Linked DNA regions of Danio rerio. The protein of the gene in region 1 purifies or fractionates together with the protein of each later gene. This does not show direct contact. Links are inferred from orthologs where the notes say so. Each region holds a gene or a part of one and is shown on either strand. Other genes may lie near its edges.

Region 1 (3,794 bases):
GATCTTCTATGTGAAGCTGCTTTGACACAATCTACATTGTAAAAGCGCTATACAAATAAAGGTGAATTGAATTGAATCCCAACAGCTTCTGAACACCTTCATTAGTTGGATCAGCTGTGTTTGATAGGGTTGGAGCAAAACTGTGCAGAGCTGCGGCCCTCCAGGAATTGAGTTTGAGACCCATGATTTAGAGGCAACGAGTGGTGAATTAGCCTTTGATGTGACGACTGCAGCAGAGAGGGTTTTGTAATAAAGACTAACACTTTCTATTTAGGATGTGACATGAATCATGCTGCACTGGAAGAGTCTGAGCAAACAATCCAAATCTTTTTGTCTGAAGCAAAACAGGGCATCGGTTTACTGTCAGAGATTTACTGCTTATGTCATCCAGTGTAGACAGAATTGCTAATTATTAAAGCATTACTGTTATCCAGTGTAGATAAAACCACTACTTAAAAGTATGACTGTCATCCAGTGTAAACAAATATCCATAAATTAGCAGTTTTTCATATTTTTTGTGATTCAGGGTTTTATTTTTCCCTGTTTATTTGTTTTTTAATTGCATTACGGGACCTAAATCTTTCTTCCAACAACTTTTAACCTTAAAAAGTTAGAAAAAAAATCACTTTTGTTAACAATTAATAGTTTAAAGTAATATATTGTCTGGGTCAGTGTTGTATATAAAGCTACAAAAACCTTGTAATAAACTGCCAGAACATTTTCTGGTATTTTACAGACTTATATTTCTCTATACATTATTTCTTATAGATTATATTATTTCAAACTACAAAAATGTCAATGAAAGCCACTTTGTCAAACAGTAGAGTTGAATTTTCAACATCAAAAGTGGACAGAGCAGAGATCAACATCCTATAATGCAATTCACAACCATAAATAAACAGAAAACACTTGTGAATCCCAAATTACAGAAACTGTTAATTATCAGAAATTTTGTACACTGTAGACACAATGTAAGCGGGCACCAGTATTCATCAGGATGTTTCACTTGTCAGTTATAAAAATGAGGCCTCGAAAAACAAAAATGTTATCCTCATACAGGCTATATCCAAAACCAACTAAAAATAAAAGCAAATATTTATACCACAACCCTAAAAGATAGCTTGCACACCACATTTTACTGTGATGCTTCTAATAACGCAAGGCCAAATGATGAGACAGGAAAATCGTAAAAGACAAATATAGAGATGGGAAAATGAGATAAACAAGCAATGGAAAACATGTTGTGTGTTTGGGAATGCTTATTGTTCATCGGCACGAGGATGCTCCTCTTGATTTGTTGATAGACACTGTGAACTTGTAAGAGTAGACAAAGTCTTCCTCTGGGAAAACAAATCAAAACAGGATGTTACTCACAAACTTTCAACAAACACTACCTGACAAAAGTCTCGTCTATCTAAGTTTTAGGAACAACAAGCAAATAATTGACTTCTAGTTGATCATTTGGTATCAGTAGTGGCTTTTATGAAAGGCAAAGGCCTCTAGAATACGCTTATTTTACCCAAATAAAATATGATCATGCTTTGATTTTTATTTATTTAATTAGGTCTGACTTTGCTTAAACAAAAGTCTTGTCACTTAACAGAAATACTGTACAGCAGTGGAAAAAGTGTTAATATTGTGTATGACTCCCACGAGCTTGGAGGACTGCATCCATACATCTCTGCAATGACTCAAATCACTTATTAATAAAGTCATCTGAAATGGCAAAGAAAGCTTTCATGCAGGACTCCCAGAGTTCATCAAGATTCTTTAGATTCATTTTCAATGCCTCCCCCATCTTACCCTAGACATACTTAATAATGTTCATGTCTGGTGACTGGGCTGGCCAATCCTGGAGCACCTTGACCTTCTTTGCTTCCAGGAACTTTGATGTGGAGGCTGAAGTATGAGAAGGAGTGCTATTCTGCTGAAGAATTTGTCCTCTCTTGTGGTTTGTAATGTAATGTGCAGCACAACTTGACTGATTTATGTGAGATTTCTTTGTCCATGCGGGTTCCAGTAGGTCTTCTGCAGTATATGTGATGTTTGGGATGCAGTTCAACAGATGATTCATCTGAAAAATCTACCTTCTGCCACTTTTCCAAACGATCAACTAGAAGTCAGGTTATTATTTGTTGCTTTTACAGCTGTGATCAACGACAAGTCAGGTAGTGTACTGTTCATAAAGTAACTTAATCATTAATATTCACCTTGTAGTCTATGTCAGCCAGCTGTAGACCAGAGAGCCTCCGATGACCGCAAGAATTGTGCAACACAACATGATCATCATCTTTTTCTGCAGGGGTGTAAGTGATCAGGATATAAAGACAGTGAAGGGAAGCAAAGGGAAAGGATGATTGGGAAATGTGTAGAAAGCAGAGTTGAAATCACGTAGAAGAAACAAGACATCAGTGCAAGAAGAGAAGTAAAAAAACAGAAGAAATCAAAGGGTAATGAATAATAATAAGAAGAAGAAAAAAAACCCTGCAAAACATGAAATGCAATTTGAAAATCTTAGAAACTAGTAGTTTACAGAATGGGAATGTGTCCTCACAGCGCAATGCATTCTGGAAATTTGGGAAACGGGAACATGGATCCTATTGAGCTCTATAGGTTTATCATCATTTCATTATATACACTGACTTGCAATAAACTGTAAGTGCTCAAACCACAGTTAGAGAAGAAATTATATATAGAAATGTTTTCTTGCAGCAGCTTATTAATACGCTGTCACTTACGAATAGGTTGGTTCATTTTAGCGCTGGAGAACTATTATATTACAGAATGCTTGTTTTAAGCTACTCAGACACACAACAAGTGTTTATAAAGCTAGTGCTGTCAAACAATGGTGACTAATAGCATCAAAAATAACAGTTTGTATTTACATAATGTATGTCTAAGGTGTATAAATGTTGTGTATCTATAAATAAAAGTATTAAAAAATTCTACAAAATAAATAAATAAATATATATATATATATATATATATATATATATATATATATATATATATATATATATATATAAATGTATTGTAAATAAAACTGCTTTTTTTTCTGTGGTGATTTGCATTAGTTTACATTTGCTGGAAAATATTTGGCAACGCAACTTGCAGATTCCCATTCTCCATTCATTATATCCATGAACATAATACACAGATAAAGATTGTTTGTTTTATGACACAGTTGCTGTACTCGTTCAAGCTCACCCTGCGTGCTTCCTGTTGGAACTTGGCAGCTTTTTTAGTGTCAGCCACAGCTCTTTCCACAAAACCCACCGACTGGTCCATGTTGCTCTCAATCCTGTCAATCATGCTTCCCTGTCGACAAATATAAATATTAAATGCTTAAATCTATCTCAAACCTGAGCGAAACAACATATAAAAGGTCTCCATTAAAGGGATAGTCCACCAAAATTGAAAATGCTGTCATCATTTACTCACTTGTTCAAAACCGATTTCAGCTAATTTGTTTATGGTCAATGGCAAACAGCGTTTTTAACAGCATGTTAATAAGAGGTTATGAACACATAACTGCCAACACTCCCATTTCATCTGGGAGTCTCCTGTATTTCAGACCCATCTCCCGCCACCCTCCCGTTTTGTTATTTCTCCTTAAAAACTCCCGTAATTTCACAACCCCCCCCAGCCAACCCCCCCCCAAACCCCCCACCCCCAATCCTCAGCTTTCTGGTACAGTCTATAACACCCCAGGATCGCCGACTTTGCTATAGTATCCAATCGCAGCGGCTTCACGAAACCCGGTCCATAGTAGTAACTTACGGTAGCTGTGTTAT
Region 2 (3,835 bases), on another chromosome or scaffold:
TCTAAGGTAGTTAAATCTACTATCTAAAATTTGCAGTGTACTTTGAATATTCAGTCTGAAATCACATGTGATTATGACTTGAAGACAACATTAGCACTTTATTTGACTGAACAATGTTGTACTTCAGTAGTGATTGGCATTTAGAATTTGCTTACTTTTCTGAAATGTTATTATTAAGGAGAAAGTCAGAATGTGTGAATATTAAACCAACTTTACCTTAATTATATAACGTTGCTGTATTAATGAACTAGTAACTTAAAATAGAATAAATTGTGTAAATGAATGATTAATCAATACAAAACACATTATTGAATAAAGTGAACTTGCATTTTTAGGTTTGAACTGAAAGCAGCTCCCAGCAAGCAGGACTAAGTTTTTTGTTTACATGAATAACACATTTTTTGCATAAGGTTGATTAAAAGTAGTAAAATACAGAAATAAAAACGTACAGAATTTCTATTATTTAGTTTGCTAAAAATGTATTATGTAAATGATTTATGTTCAGTTGTTTAGTCAGCATGCAGAAAAAGGAGACGGGATCAGAGTCAAGTGATTTGATCACAAGCTGGTTTGCTGTTTCCTAGAATCATGACTGAATTCTAGACTATGGTTCAGCAAACTGTTTCCTCAAATGTGTTTCCCCCATTTCCGTCCAATGATTGATGTGCATTTGGTGTGATTAGCTTTTTAATGCTTAGACACTGGCTACAACCTTTAAATGTTAATATAAATACTATTTTAAAAACTATAATATTGTTGTGCTGTTTTTTCTGTGAATGAAAAAATGCCTTTTTAAGTAATAACTGAAACAGAAGTTACGATAGTATTTCCTTCCTTATTGTGATATATAGCCAAAAGATAACGGCTTCTGAATTGAGAGAAAAAAAAAGATGTATGGCAGGACTTGATTTTGTTCATCATAATTGATTATAGGTTACAATGGCAGATGATAATAATAATAATAAAAATTATAATAAAAACAATAATGCTGGTAATGTGCCCAAATTAATAATTAATTACACATTTTAAGAATTGGGAATATTGTAAATAATTTAACGAGGGGCTCACAATGTCTGTACAATTTTCAGCTTTCTTCAAAATATCTATATGTTTTTAAAGAGTATTTATAAAAAAAAATTACAGTATCTGAAAAGAGTAGCATTTTTGAAAGTTTTGTTTTCTGTCATGTTTGATGTACCTGGTTACAAATTTAAAATGAAAAACCAAATGGCTTACCATTTTGCAACAACATTTACATATAGTTGAAAATAATTAGCTCTCCTGTGAAATTTTGATTCTGTATTTATTGTAAGTCTTAATCATTTTAATTTGGCTAGATTGTGTATAGTTTTTTAAATGTACAAACATTGTTAAAGATAGTTTAAATAGCTCTATATGTGATGGTTTTCTAGGGAAACTAACTGTATTCGGGTTCAGAAATTGAATAATTACAATGAAAAAAGGCTTTTCTTACTTTGCTTTGTCTCGTTTAGTTCAAATATTTAAAAAAATGTAAGAGCAAGTTGTTTTGTTTTCACCTTCAGAATATTACATTTTTACTTTAAACAAGCTAAGTTATCTGCCTGTGGGGTAAGCAAAATAATCTTGTTTTCACTTTGAAATGTAGATATTTGGACTAATCCATTTTTTAAAAATAAATTCTATATAAATACAGTAATTAAATACATTTCTGTAGGACTTGGTCAACTATAATTCAGACTCACCATTGCGTATCTTGCGATTTGACTATTGTGAATGTGCACATTGCCATACTGATGCTGAAACGATTTGTTGTGTACAATTATATTGCAAAACAGCTAATAAGGACTGCCTTTTTGTCAAAGACAAAAGCAAATAGTTATATTAAAAGTAGATATATTAGTTACACCATTATTTAAGTGAAGTTTCACAAACTAATTTCAAGAGGAGCATGTGATATTATTGATCATGGCTGACTCTCATCTGTAATCATTAGTAAACCAATCGGATTATTCCAAACTCACTATAAATATCCTGTCTAGCCTCACTCCCTTATCTTCGTTTTTTGAAGAATCCCCCTCATCCACCCCATCTCCCACTTTTCTCCTTAACCAGGTGGAGCTCTTAAGAGCTACCTGATCTTTTACACCCTTACATGATCATTGACCAGACGGGATCCCTGGGCTCAATTATCTCATTTATCTACCGGGACAGCATGCCAAACCTGCTAATAGCGTCAAGCAATATCGAAGTGTGAACTCTTGAAACCATCTTCTCTCCTATTAACATCACTTGGGAAATATTTAATAGAATTAAAATTTTACTGAATAACTTGGTCTTCAACTGTATATATCTTGTCATTGCAATACCTATACTGGTTGAATTTGATACAAGTTCCTGAACAATACTTTTTTTCATACCAATTTAATAAAATTTGATTTAATAACATTACCTAAAACATTTTTTCAAAGCCAAACTCTCAATAGCACGAAGAAACAAAATGTAACCAAACCAAATAAACTAACTGCAATCAAAATGTAACCAAACCAAAGCTGAATCAGTCCAAATAAGGTCAATGATGTATGTTTTAATTTACTTTGACATGAGGGTGTTTTTAAATCTTCCAGTGTTCGATAAGGTTTATCAGTGGTGATGGCTATCCTGTTTGCCGTGGTGGCTCGAGGATCAACCGTTCTAGCTAAGCATGCGTGTTTCTCTGGCAACTTTCTGGAAGTGACTGAACAGATCCTGGCCAAAATCCCATCTGAAAACAACAAGCTCACATATTCTCACGGCAGGTACAACTGACATTTTGCTAATGCAGTGTTTCCCAACTCTGTTCCTAAAGGCACACCAACAGTACACATTTCTAACCTCTTCCTAATCAAACACACCTCAATCAACTCATCAGAACGTTAGGAGAGAAAACCTGAAATGAATAGGTCAGATAAGGGGGACATCCAAAATATGTACTGTTATTGTGTCTCCAGGAACAGGGTTGGGAAACACTTCTAATGTGCTGTGAATACTTTACCAGCGATTCTTTGTGCTGATTTAAAGTGTTTCTATTGTGTTTTCTCTCAGCTATCTTTTCCACTACATCTGCCATGAGCGGATTGTCTATCTGTGCATCACTGATGATGTGAGTATCCGTCACATGATCTCAGCTTCTCTCCAGCTCCATTCACACACTTAACCGTTTGTCTCTCTTTCAGGAGTTTGAGCGGTCCCGTGCGTTTGGCTTCCTCAATGAGGTAAAAAAGAGATTTCAGACCACATATGGCTCTCGAGCACAGACCGCACTGCCCTACGCCATGAACAGTGAGTTTTCCAGCACACTGGCTGCACAAATGGTACGTGCGTCTGCCATCTTTGTATGTGTTTTGTACACTTTCAATAGGGGTGCACCTATATGGAATTATTGACCGATACAGATAATCGATGACTCTTTAGAATCGGAGGCCGATATACTTTTTAAGATATTTTTATCCTTGCCATGATGACAGTAAATAATATTTTACCAAATAGTTTTGAAGATACTATTAAGCTTAAAGTGACATTTAAAGGCTTGATTAGGTTAATCAGGTTAACTAGGAGAGTTAGGGTACTTAGAGATAGTTATTGTATAACTATTCTGTAGACAGTCTAAAAAAATATAGCTTAAAAGGACTAATAATGTTGACTGGGCTGCACAATATTGGAAATGTTTGATATTGCATTATTTTATGTTTCACAAGATGATGATACTTCATGATACAGTTTCACATAGGGGTGTCACGATTCTTCAAATTCTCGATTCGATTACATTTTCGATTCTTAAGTCACGATTCGATTCGATTTTCAATTATGAATAATT

What was found.
Region 2: the proteins of stx3a (region 1) and sybl1 purify together in Homo sapiens (co-immunoprecipitation; 3 studies listed by BioGRID and IntAct, with this or other methods). This does not show direct contact. The link is inferred for Danio rerio from reciprocal best matches to the Homo sapiens genes STX3 and VAMP7.

The regions. Positions count from the first base shown.
Region 1 is NC_133176.1:48,092,544-48,096,337, reverse strand, and holds the end of stx3a (uncharacterized protein LOC571872), read right to left. Parts: intron 3,319-3,794; coding exon 3,208-3,318; intron 2,485-3,207; exon of another isoform or gene 2,297-2,484; coding exon 2,219-2,296; 3' UTR 2,211-2,218; intron 1,341-2,210; 3' UTR 736-1,340; downstream 1-735. UniProt on the Homo sapiens protein: Potentially involved in docking of synaptic vesicles at presynaptic active zones. Apical receptor involved in membrane fusion of apical vesicles.
Region 2 is NC_133189.1:9,605,526-9,609,360, reverse strand, and holds part of sybl1 (vesicle-associated membrane protein 7), read left to right. Parts: intron 1-2,606; 5' UTR 2,607-2,631; coding exon 2,632-2,777; intron 2,778-3,063; coding exon 3,064-3,121; intron 3,122-3,194; coding exon 3,195-3,332; intron 3,333-3,835. UniProt on the Homo sapiens protein: Involved in the targeting and/or fusion of transport vesicles to their target membrane during transport of proteins from the early endosome to the lysosome. Required for heterotypic fusion of late endosomes with lysosomes and homotypic lysosomal fusion.